3 linked regions of the Oryzias latipes genome follow. The protein of the gene in region 2 purifies or fractionates together with the protein of the main gene of each other region. This does not show direct contact. Links are inferred from orthologs where the notes say so. Each region holds a gene or a part of one and is shown on either strand. Other genes may lie near its edges. The genes, in order: wdr5, pdpk1 and syndecan-2-A.

Region 1 (4,254 bases), on a different chromosome or scaffold from region 2:
TTATGTAGTAAACTTATAAGTACATAATTGTTTAGTTATCTCAGCCCTTGATATTTTATGCTTTTTTAATTCATCCTTAATATAATAATGAATGTTGTAATCTATTACTGTTTTGTTTGTTTTTTAATGTTTCCACTATGCAGAAGATCAAAAAACGCAAAATGTAATAAAAATTAAAACAACCACAAATAAAAAGTGAATTTTGGAGTAATTAACCAACTTAAAAATGTAAACATGGGAAGCTACAGCTCCATGAAAGCAAACCAAAACCACTGCAGCAGATTCCCTCCTTCACATTCCTCAGAAAGGGTCTTTAAGAACTGCAGAACGTGCCAGGCGGAAGTGGGCGGACGTGACAAAAACCGCGTGTTTTATCACTTTAACCCACAAGAACCCCTGTTGTTGTTGGACACGCGCGAGGAATGCCTTCTACTGGATACTGAAATGCTTCACGTGTGCACGAACTCTCAAAGTTTTACTCAGTTAAATAAGGGCTTTGTATCCTAGCAGATGGAGGCGTAGTCCCCAAAACGTTACTTCCAACAACTATTGTAAAAAATTATTTGTCAAACCACACAGACTTCCTGAAGAGACAATGCAAATGAATACCAATATTTTCTTCGAGGTCAAGAAACGTCCAACGTGTTAGCTATCATAATTAGCTAGTCTGTGCACAAATGAAATGTTTTTCTTGCCTGGTGGTGAACGAAAATCCTTTATTTCTTTAACTCTGCAACACCTAAAAATGCTGCTATAAAATGTTATTGAAAAAAAAGTCTGACTTTTTTATTTTAACTAGTCATAATATATATCAGGTATTTAAGCAATTTAAAAAAATCACCTAAGTTTTCTTTTTAATCCGTTTCGAGAAAAAACTCCGATCATCATCTAACGGGAAGGGAGGGTAGCGGCAAGTTGTTTACCAACTCGTATTGTTAAATTGGAATAAAAGTTCAAGCAATGCTCCTCTTCAAAAACAGTAAAACTTTACACCGAAGCTTGAACAGAAAAGTATGCGCTTCAAGTACCTCCACGGCGAAGTCAGTCACCATCTGCTAACTTCCTCTCCCGACCTGCTGCACCTACATGGCTGGCAATTCAATTCGTGTCTATTTGTCTGGGCACGTCAGCCCAGAAGTCAAAGGGGAATACTGCCATCTAGTGTTCTGGAGTGTCCACTGTTTTCATTTGGCAAAAAACGCAAATATTTTGCACTGACATATTTTTCTTTTGATAATACTATTATCAAAAGAGAATTATATATTTTGCTTCACTTAACTTTTTTTCTGGTAAATTGAAATATTAATTGCAAAATGTTTACGTCTTAAGGGAAAACTGCATTTTGTGACGTTTATTCTAACTCGTGCCATCGATACTTGATCCTCACAGGTTTCCGTTACTTCTGTGTGTGACGCGCCTGCGCATTGCACTGGCACACTACATTCCCTCGTTTCTTCGTTGGTTTTCTCGCAGCCAAACGTATACAAGGAGGCAGGTAGATTAGTTTTTTGTAAGTTTAGGATCATATTACGAAAAAACAGACTGGTTTTAATCGTGTTTTCTTCGGTGGAGGAAAAAAATCTGGAGGTGAATCTGTAAAACGTTTCTGTAAGTATGAGCGTTTGCGTAAATCTTCATTGTCTGAGGAGTAGAGGGCCGCTTTTGTGGCAGGTTGTCAATAGCTAAAAACAAGTGACCGCATGTACATAGTGCTGATAGTTTTCCTGAACATCTAGCACTTTATATTTTTTAACGTCTATTTCATATCCATTTGAACATGCAACGCGTCTTTTTTTCAAGTACAAATATATAAAGTCTGTCTGAAGTTGCGCCAAAGGAAGGTATTCCGCGTCGCTTTTGTTATATGATGCTGTTTTCACCTATTATTTCTTTATGGTAAACATTTTGACGTTAAAAATGTGGAAGCTGACTTTAATGTACATCAAATGCCACTTCGCGATGTTTTTGTTTTGCCAGTTAAGAAAAAAGAGTTTTTATACGTCAGCGTACCGAAGCTAACTGAGCTAGCTAAAATTTTTAGCCATCGAGCTAATTTGTAAACGCTTAATTTAGCCAATACGGCTATACAATCTACATTGCAATTGTATGCATCAACTTTACCTTTTAATAAACAAAATATTTCTACAACACGTTAAACTATAAACGAGAGTATAATAAATTTGACGAAGGGGCTGTGCAAGCATGTAATTTGAAATACTTGTGTGCTCTTCTGTCTCCTTGCAGTGCTCAGTAGATGCTATTTTTTTCATGATGGCAACCGAAGACAAGAAACCAGAGACTGACACAAAACCTCCAGTTGTGCAGTCAGCATCTGCAAGCCAAAGCAAGGTCTGGATATAAGAAAATGACTGAGTACTCTGGGCCGTGTTCTTGTGCAACTGCAGCTTTGCATCAATTGTTTCTTTTGTTTTCCAATTAATACAAGATTAAATGGTGAACAATGCATTTTGGTTTTTGTTTTAGCAGAGTTGATATGTACTTCTTTTCTATCTTACCAATGGCATTAAATGTGCCCCCCCACAGTCTGCGCCTGCAAAGCCAAACTACAGCCTGAAGTTCACGTTAGCAGGACACACCAAAGCCGTGTCTTCTGTCAAATTCAGTCCAAGTGGAGAATGGCTCGCCAGCTCATGTGAGTTCATCCTCCTCTGTGTGGCTTTTAAGCAATGAATGTCTCAAAATGTACTCAACATGAAACCATTATATTGGTTGATGTTGACCCTGTTCAAAGGGAGTTTACTCAATGAAAAAAAAAAACTATGTAGAGTTTACAAAATGTTAACATTTAGGAATCTAAACAAGAGGCCGTCAGCTCTCATCTACCTGCCCAGCTGTTGGACAGGACAAGTAAAAAAAAAAAGAGAGAGAAAAAAAACAAACATTTAGGAATCTTGAGTTTATTTCAAATGATTTTTCGGATTAATTGTTAGAACAAAACATGTGAAGTAGTTATGTACATATATATTTTTTTACTAAAGCCACTTTAGTAGTGTTATTCCTTTCTGCCCCTTTGGCTTTTTGCCCTGACGTTGGACTTTAAAAGGCCCATTTCACCATGGTGTCATATTTTGTTCCATTCTCCGATCCGCCTCCAGAGTTAGTCTCAGAGATGAAATAGGTGGGTGAAAGGGTAAGACAATGCCAGGGCTGTAACCAGCATCCAAATACTTGGAAATCTTTCTATCTTTTCAAGAACAATGTTTGGGCATATTTGTTGTCTTTATAAATATAGTAGAATATAGTACAAATAAACTTCACGCATTGTAATTATCACTCTAAATCAGCAGAATAATGTTGGAATTCGAGGATATAAACTGACAGATATCAGCTAAAGATGGTAAAGTGTGACAGTTTCATGCTGAAACTGATGATGATTTATTTTCTGAACCAACAGTGTTTAGTTTTGTTGGGAAAACCAAAAAATAGAAACTTATAAAGTGCTGTTCACTGATGCTCCAATATCCCATAATCCATCCAACTAACATACGTCACTGTGCCTCTGTGCTGTGGAGGTGGGGAACACGTTGAACTAAGAAGTTAACATTCACTGAGGCCCCCAGCCCCAAAATGAACTTGTCAAGGAGAAATAATCAGAGAAAACTAGAACCAAATTAGAATTAAACGTAGAATGTTCTAATCTAGTAAATATAGTTTTCTGTTTATCAGATGTATTAAACTTGTCATTTGGATCAATTTGTATGCTGTGTTACATTTGTGTGTAGTGTTGGCTTCATAATTGATGTGATGACAGTAATTCATAGATTTGACTGATGTTCTCTTGTTCCAGCTGCTGATAAACTCATCAAGATCTGGGGAGCGTATGATGGCAAGTTTGAGAAAACCATATCTGGACACAAACTTGTGAGTAAAACTGTACTCTGATATTGCTCTGATATGTTCTCTGGATTTCCTGTGGGAGGAATAGATTTTAGAAGCGCCCTTCTCCTTCTTATGTGTCTGAACTATTTCCCATGATCCTGCAGGGCATCTCTGATGTGGCCTGGTCCTCTGATTCCAACCTGCTGGTGTCTGCATCAGACGACAAAACCCTGAAAATCTGGGATGTCAACTCGGTAAGAAGGTTCTGCACTTGTTCTAGGAGCCAAAACGTATTTTTTTGGCACTTATTCTTGTTTACCCTTTAATTTAGTATATTTCCCCTTTTTAATTTCCTAAGTAATGACATCTGGGTAAAAGGTTGTACAAGCATTCACTCACCTTCACTCAGGATGG
Region 2 (4,391 bases):
TTTCAGGAGTTCGCCATTTTTAGCATAACTGAGCCCAAAATCTACAGAACGCCAGTTAAGAAACATGCTTTGAAGAATACACACAGACCCAAATCTTTAAAAGATTCTCATTTAAAAAACTCTCAGAAATCAGTTGTAAGGATACACAACTTCTCATCATCTTGAAATGTGAAGTAGAGCTTGACGAAGAATGGGTGATCAAGGCTTGACATCAAATCCCTTTCTCTTTTCACGTACTGGACTTTATTCTCCTTCATAATGTGGCGTTTCTCTAAAATCTTAACTAGTAAAAAAAAAGAAAAAAACATTGGTAAGTGTACAATCATTTATTAACGGTATAAATCAAAAGTATTTGCTGAAAGATAATCCGTTTTACTAACTTGCAAATTCTTTGCCTGTGGCATGCTCTCTTGCAAGGACAACCTGAGAACCAGAAACAAATGAGAAAATATTGAAAAAATGTTACAATTAGGCCCCATTTGCCATTAAATCAAAAGAATCCTAACATGTAGCAACATCTATCATAATATAATTCAGATAAAATTAAAGATTTATACCGTTGAGAAGGAGCCCTCTCCCAGTATTTTGCCAAACTTGAAGTCCTCTGGCTTCTTCTTGCGTGGCTGAGCCGGCTGGATGGCCGGCTGCTTGCAGGCCTCTGAGCTCTGGCTGTTTGCAGGCGCTCCTACAGCACAAGCCTCTGCAGCTGGGCCTTCCATACCGGAGCAGTGACGGCTGCTTGCGCCTGGGATAGCAAGTGGCGAGCAGGAGTCAGGGTGGTTTCTTACCATTGATGGATGTGAGCAGGAACAGATGACAACGTTGGGCTGAATGGGCACAACATCATACTGAAATGAGACAAGAAAATAAGGAGAATACATATCAGGAATGGAGTACTGAAGTTAAAATACTCTATTATTTGAGACAAAATTAATAAGTATATTTTAAAAACCTAATATTAAGTTGTTACTTAGTTAAATAAGCATTTTTTTGCTGAGAAATGTATGAAGATAACACTTGATTTGACCCTTAAGTAGACTATAGGTATCTCCATTTACATGTCATTTAAAATATGTATTAATAGAATGAAACTTTTTTTTGTCCAGGTCAAAGATACCTTTGCATTTACAACCTAGTACTTTAACATTTTAAGATAGTATATGTACTATTGTAAAATTATTGTTAAAAAAAAAGGAAGTTAAAGAATGCTTCACCCCCTGAAATGGGCAGAATGCACATCATTTACAACCAATAGAGCATTTTTCTTTACTATTTCAGAAAGTAGGCATATTTTAAAAAAACAGAAGTATGCATCTGTTACATGTAACATAAAGATGTTAGCAGGATTTCGTAAATAAGTAGTATTTCATGTCAGACTACCGAAGGGCAAAGTTCAACCTTGATAGCTATACACATAGAAACTTTATGCTTTTGTTGTAAAAACCTGTAAAGTTCCATTTTCAGTGGCAGCAGCTTTTACAACAATGACAATGAATATGGTATATTTAGTATATAATCAACCAGGCGTTGGAGCACTAGAACACAAAATGAAACTCATTAAGTTGCATCACAAATCGTAGTAGTTGATAGCCACTGTGTGTATAATCATTTAGCAAGTATGATAACACTTTAAAACGATTTCGTTTTACAAATGTAACCTGTGAAATGAATGAAACATGTAGTTAATTGGCAATAAGCGCTGATCAATTTATCTGGCCTAGCTTCTACTCATTCAAAAGCAACAAGGTGTGGCCATTTAGCTGCTTATTCCGGAGTTGACTATGTCATAATCAAGAGTTCAGATTAACCTCTATTCACTCGTCTCTTACAGATGGGCAATCGTGTATTTAATGATAGACACGGTCTGATAAAATTGTCATAACCAAAAACTGTTGTAAGAACTCTCCTATGGAAAGTTTCTTCCCCAACCAAAGCCTGCTAGCAGGCTAACATTAGCTCCTGCTACCTTGTCAAATAATGCCGGCCATCACTGACAGCAAGTTACAAACTTGACGCTAACAGCAAGTAAGCTAAAAGATAGCAAACAAGCCAAGACAAGTAACTGAAAAACCTCTTGCCTTTATGACAAAATGTTTCCCCCTCTCGTTATAAGTTACAATGTCCGCATGAATATCATATTTATAAAGTTGACAATCAGATGCCATGATGTTATCGTTAGAGAACTCTCTTCTATCGAAAGGTGGAATGCATTGAAGCTAACATTAGCTTGCTAGCAGGCAGAGTCGGTAAGTAGAAGCGCGAATCCAAGCTTACATTAGCAAACAGTGGCTGGTTCGAAGAAAGTCGTCTTAAAAAGCCTGAAAACAAATATATCAAACATATAAACGTACCCTATCAGAGCTTAATCGAAACACGTTTATCTAGTAATCAAGGAAAATGTTAAACAACCACGATAAGGACATTTAACGCGAAGTGTTTTGTTAGCCAACACTCGGAAGCTAACACTTGCTAGTGAAGCGTAAGGCGAAAAAGATATTAGCCCTGCTTTCAAATGAAGGCCCAGCGCAACTACTTACAACAAAGCTGCCATTCAGCACATTTTCAATGCCGGCTACGTACTGTTACTGTTCTTTAAATAGCCACACTTACCAGCTGACTTGTCGCTCTTGCCATGGGAGTTTTCTGCGAATATTTATGTGAAATAAAATAATTATAGAAGCTCCAGTAATGGCTGCCTCTGCGCCTTCATTTTTGAGCTGTGACGTCGTTCCACAACAATGTTACCGCAGGACAGCAGAGGAGAGTCCTGCTGTGTACGCCCCCGCCACATTAACAGCCTTCCACACAGATAAGGCTGAAGTGAAATAGGAGCGGTTGTTGATATTCAAATAAGTTATGGCCTATGAACTATTCGAGCTTAGAGGTCTTTTAACTGCAAGGAGAAAGAAAGCGCCGCTCACGCAGTTTGGGAGGATTTATTGACAGTCTTTGCGTCTTGTGTATTTATTAAACTGAAACCTGACTTTTTTTTTTTAATTCTAATTCTATTAAACTGAAATAAAGATAAAAACAAATCAAACGTATATATTCAGAATACACGCATTATTTTTGCATTTCTCTTATCATACAAGCAAATGCAGAAAGTTACAATTGTTTACTAATTTATATTAATGGATGACACATAATAATGCCAGTTATGTTTTTCGACATTTAATAACTTTCAATATACAAGTGCCTAAAAATATAAAGTTGATTACAATTTTTTACCATATATTTAAAAAAAAGTAAGGTTTGTAAAACTTAAATAAGATTTAATTCACCCTAACTCCATTTACTTTGTTTAATCTTAAAGATGAGTCCAAAGAAATGTTTTTCTGGATCTTGATGTTTTACATTTATTTTTAAATTTGAAGGTATACAGGCAAACTATCTTCACTACCTTATATTCCCAGCAAAGAACCGACATTACCCACTTTTTTGAAAATTTTCATTCTGCAGAAACATTCATTTACAATCTTATCTGTTTTGCAAAATTCATTACATTTCCTTTGCGTTAGATACCACAGTTTATAAAAGAAAAATAAATATCCTAGAATGTAGTTAAAATAGTTCGTAAATTGATTCTCTGTGATACTGTAAATTCTATTTCTGAAAATTATTTGAACTGTAGAAAATGTTTACCAAATAGTTAGGGTGACTCAAAAGAAACATTTTTAAATATATTTTTATTCAGTCCTCTTCTTGTTGATTACAGGATGTTTTTGAATCTTCATCGCCATCTTCGTTTTCATCTTCATCTTCCGACATGTCGCTGTCCTCACCCGATTCATCATCCTCAGGAGCACTTAACACAGAAATTATTTTTAATCACTTCTGATCCATCTTTACTGTTGGACCCAGTGCCCAACAACAGTAACTATAACTTTTCTTAGCGTGGGCTGCCCAACTCTGGTCTTCGAGACCTACCACTCTCCCTGTTTTCCAGCTCTCTCTGCACTGGTTTCTGACTTTATTCCGATTGACTGAACACACCTGATCAGCAGCTATAGGGAGAGTGCCGGGAAAACAGCCAGGGATGTAGATCATGAGGACCAGGGTTGTTTTCCACATCAGCCAGATACCCAAATTCAAACAAGCCTTTCCTTTTATCAACAAAAGTAGGTGTTTACCATTGACGTCGATTGAGATTCATACATTCAACCCCAGAATTAACATCAAATGGATCTGCAAACAAGAAAGATTAACACATTTCATTAGATATATTTTTTTTAAATATTACAGAGATCAAGACTTGAACTTTTAATTGTTTTCTGAATATTAATGAAAACAAAACAATGAAAGACTGCAATTTGTTACCCTAACACAAAAATACTATAGCGGTGGTAAATCTTTAATGGTTTAAAGACTTTTAAATTGCTTTGCAGTCAGTC
Region 3 (3,592 bases), on a different chromosome or scaffold from region 2:
TGAGCTGTTTTGGCCTCCACAAAGACCATGCTGGTGGTCATTGGTGCCTCCTGCTCCTCCTCCTCTCCTCCGGCACCTGTAAGGAGAACAGCATCCAACCGTCAACCTGCATGTGTGCAAACCAAACTTCTGATCACAGACCTTCACATTTAGTGGATAATGGTTTGAAGTTTGGATCTGGTGTAGGTTCAGACCAGTAGAACCTCAAAATGAAGCTCGTCTGCAGAAGAATTGCTTTACCACAGCTGCAGGAATTAAAATAACTACAGAGAGGGTGAGGAACAAGCAAACAAAAAAATCTGCTACTGTACCTGAGCCAGATCCAGAGTTAAAGTCGTCGTCATCTTCAGGGTAGACACCTCCTGAGCCGGGCTCCTCCAGGAACAGGTCATCCGATTGTGAGGAGGCCTGAGCTGCTGCTCTCTGAAAACACACAGAAGAACGTTCAGGGAGGACCGTCAGAGAAACGTGGGACAAAGACCTGTCCAGGATGTACCCCACAGTGTCTCAGCCCAACAGTGGCTGAGATAGGCTCCAGCAACCCCGCAACCCTGACAGGGACTAAGCAGGTTCAGGAAATGGATCCATTTTTTATCACTCTTTTAGTGATCATTTAGTTAAAAGAATAGAAATCATGTTTAGTCTCTTTCAAAATATTCCTAACACAGCAAAGGAACAAAAAAATGATTGCATTTTAAATTCAGTCCAAATTTGAAGAGTTTATTCAGAAGAGGAAGGAAGAGCCACCAATTCTAGCTATTAAAGTCCTTCCTACAATGTTTTTCTTCTCTTTAGCAACATCTTTGCAGTCGGCTCAGAAACAAAGATTTACTGTTTTCCCTCTGATGGGCTGCAGACCAGCAAGGGGGGGGGGGGGGGGGGGTCACCCAGATGACTTTAATGTTTCTCACATGACAGGCAGATTGTGCAGTCGCACATTCGCATTCACTGAAGCCACAAACTCTCCACCAGAACTAATCCCGCTAAGTCCTGCACAACAGCAGCACGGGAGGAAACTGCTGCTCTAAGCTGCCGATGGAGCAAATCAGGAGAACATTTGGTCCAAAATGTTTGGCCGTCCTGCAGGAACGACACAATGACGCCACCAAATAACCATTGGATGAGGCTGTGAGAACATTAAGAAGTCATTGAGGGTCCGTGTCTGCTGTCTGAGCAGGAGAACTATAATGATATTTCTAATCCTAGCTGTGAGCTGCGAGAACTTTAGGGCTGGTGCGAACTTTAGGGCTGCGAGAGCTTTAAGGGCTGGTGTCGCTTGAGTCGCGGCCCACGAGGCTTGAGTCGCGGCCCACGAGGCTTGAGTCGCGGCCCAGGAGGCTTGGGTCCCGGCCCACGAGGCTTGAGTCGCGGCCCACGAGACTAGAGTCGCGGCGGCCCACGAGACTAGAGTCGCGGCGGCCCACGAGACTAGAGTCGCGGCGGCCCACGAGACTAGAGACGCGGCGGCCCACGAGACTAGAGTCGCGGCGGCCCACGAGACTAGAGTCGCGGCGGCCCACGAGACTAGAGTCGCGGCGGCCCACGAGACTTGAGTCGCGGCCCACGAGGCCTGAGTCGCGGCCCACGAGGCTTGAGTCGCGGCGGCCCACGAGACTTGAGTCGCGGCGGCCCACGAGACTTGAGTCGCGGCGGCCCACGAGACTTGAGTCGCGGCGGCCCACGAGACTTGAGGCGCGGCGGCCCCGGGAGTTGAGTCGCGGCGGCCCACGTGACTTGAGTCGCGGCGGCCCACGAGACTTGAGTCGCGGCGGCCCACGAGACTTGAGTCGCGGCCCACGAGACTTGAGTCGCGGCCCACGAGACTTGAGTCGCGGCGCACGAGACTAGAGTCGCGGCGGCCCACGAGACTAGAGTCGCGGCGGCCCACGAGACTAGAGTCGCGGCGGCCCACGAGACTAGAGTCGCGGCGGCCCACGAGACTAGAGTCGCGGCGGCCCACGAGACTAGAGTCGCGGCGGCCCACGAGACTAGAGTCGCGGCGGCCCACGAGACTTGAGTCGCGGCCCACGGGGCTTGAGTCGCGGCTCACGAGGCTTGAGTCACGGCCCACGAGGCTTGAGTCGCGGCGCACGAGGCTTGAGTCACGGCCCACGAGGCTTGAGTCGCGGCCCACGAGACTTGAGTCGCGGCCCACGGGGCTTGAGTCGCGGCTCACGAGGCTTGAGTCACGGCCCACGAGACTTGAGTCGCGGCCCACGAGGCTTGAGTCACGGCCCACGAGGCTTGAGTCGCGGCGCACGAGACTTGAGTCGCGGCCCACGAAGCTTGAGTCGCGGCCCACGAGGCTTGAGTCGCGGCCCACGAGGCTTGAGACGCGGGGCACGAGACTAGAGTCGCGGCGGCCCACGAGACTTGAGTCGCGGCGGCCCACGAGACTTGAGTCGCGGTGGCCCACGAGACTTGAGTCGCGGCCCACGAGACTTGAGTCGCGGCCCACGAGACTTGAGTCACGGCACACGAGACTTGAGTCGCGGCCCACGAGATTTAAGTTGCGCGACTGTTTGTGCGACTCACAAGACCATTATAGCACTGAGAACTCAACTCACTCTGAGATCACCTTTCAAATTAAAATGATTTTTCATATTTTGTTTTTACATAAATCCTGATTTATTTTGGATTTATTTTTATCTTAAGAACATTTTCTGTTCTAGTTTAACAGCTGCCTGCCTAATCCACTATGAATCTCCCTTTTACAAGTTTCCTCGGATCGGACACGTCTTCAGCAAGTTGACAACATTATCAACAGAACATCATTCTCTGTTAAATGTTTGCAGCTGACAGACGTCAAACCGGAGGCTAGCTTTAGCTGCGTCCGACTTTTAAGGTGTGATGGATAAATAAAGCAAAAATAAAATGGAACAACAGAATATAAATATCATTATAGAAATGAATCCAAAGTGTCTGCATCTTTATTATTTGTGCATTTGAAATATTAAAAAGTCAGCAGCCACATATCAAACAAAGCTGTTTCGTTTTTGAGAAGAACTGTCTCGATAAATCCATTTGTCGCGGAAAACTCCTGCTTTTGTGTGTAAATCGCAGCTTTGAAGTTGAAGACTCTTATTCGTTTTCCTCATTGACTCTTTTTACTTTTTTGTTTGATTTTTCTTAGTTTTTAAGCATTAAACTACTAACTTCGACCAGCTCCTTAAGGTCATGTGACAGACAGATGAGGTGAACGGAATCCGGTAGTTTTTCAAAATAAAACTTCCTTCAGTATCAGAAAATAAACAAAACGGACATAATCAAAGTCAGCCTATGCATTTTCTTTCTGTCTGCAACCTGGTACTAAGTGGCTCACGGACCGGTACCAGTCCACTTCCCAGAGGTTTGGGACCATCAAACAAAATTTTCAATCATTCACATCAGATAATTAACATCACGTGTTGCAAGGATGCACCGTTTTCTCTCCCAGCATATTATTCTTTTGTCGAACACATCTGCAACAAATATGTGAACCTTCTGGAAATTACTGGGATTTGGGGATCAATTGGACATTTTCTGATTCTAAAACACAAGAATAGAAAAACCAAGTCCAATTAAACAAAACTTTAATTAAACACAATCTGTT

The links.
Region 1: the proteins of pdpk1 (region 2) and wdr5 purify together in Homo sapiens (affinity purification with mass spectrometry; 4 studies listed by BioGRID and IntAct, counting the BioPlex papers as one, with this or other methods). This does not show direct contact. The link is inferred for Oryzias latipes from reciprocal best matches to the Homo sapiens genes PDPK1 and WDR5.
Region 3: the proteins of pdpk1 (region 2) and syndecan-2-A purify together in Homo sapiens (affinity purification with mass spectrometry; 4 studies listed by BioGRID and IntAct, counting the BioPlex papers as one, with this or other methods). This does not show direct contact. The link is inferred for Oryzias latipes from reciprocal best matches to the Homo sapiens genes PDPK1 and SDC2.

What each region holds. Positions count from the first base shown.
Region 1 is NC_019870.2:23,024,982-23,029,235, reverse strand, and holds the start of wdr5 (WD repeat-containing protein 5), read left to right. Parts: upstream 1-1,417; 5' UTR 1,418-1,608; intron 1,609-2,244; 5' UTR 2,245-2,268; coding exon 2,269-2,349; intron 2,350-2,544; coding exon 2,545-2,653; intron 2,654-3,808; coding exon 3,809-3,882; intron 3,883-4,004; coding exon 4,005-4,094; intron 4,095-4,254. Other genes in the region: bromodomain-containing protein 3, read right to left, coding at 1,029-1,052.
Region 2 is NC_019877.2:9,278,204-9,282,594, reverse strand, and holds the start of pdpk1 (3-phosphoinositide-dependent protein kinase 1), read right to left. Parts: upstream 2,823-4,391; 5' UTR 2,635-2,822; coding exon 2,611-2,634; intron 849-2,610; coding exon 558-848; intron 424-557; coding exon 381-423; intron 284-380; coding exon 146-283; intron 42-145; coding exon 1-41. Other genes in the region: ribosome biogenesis protein TSR3 homolog, read right to left, coding at 3,691-3,805, 4,131-4,185. UniProt on the Homo sapiens protein: Serine/threonine kinase which acts as a master kinase, phosphorylating and activating a subgroup of the AGC family of protein kinases.
Region 3 is NC_019869.2:20,677,760-20,681,351, reverse strand, and holds part of syndecan-2-A, read right to left. Parts: intron 424-3,592; coding exon 312-423; intron 77-311; coding exon 1-76. UniProt on the Homo sapiens protein: Cell surface proteoglycan which regulates dendritic arbor morphogenesis.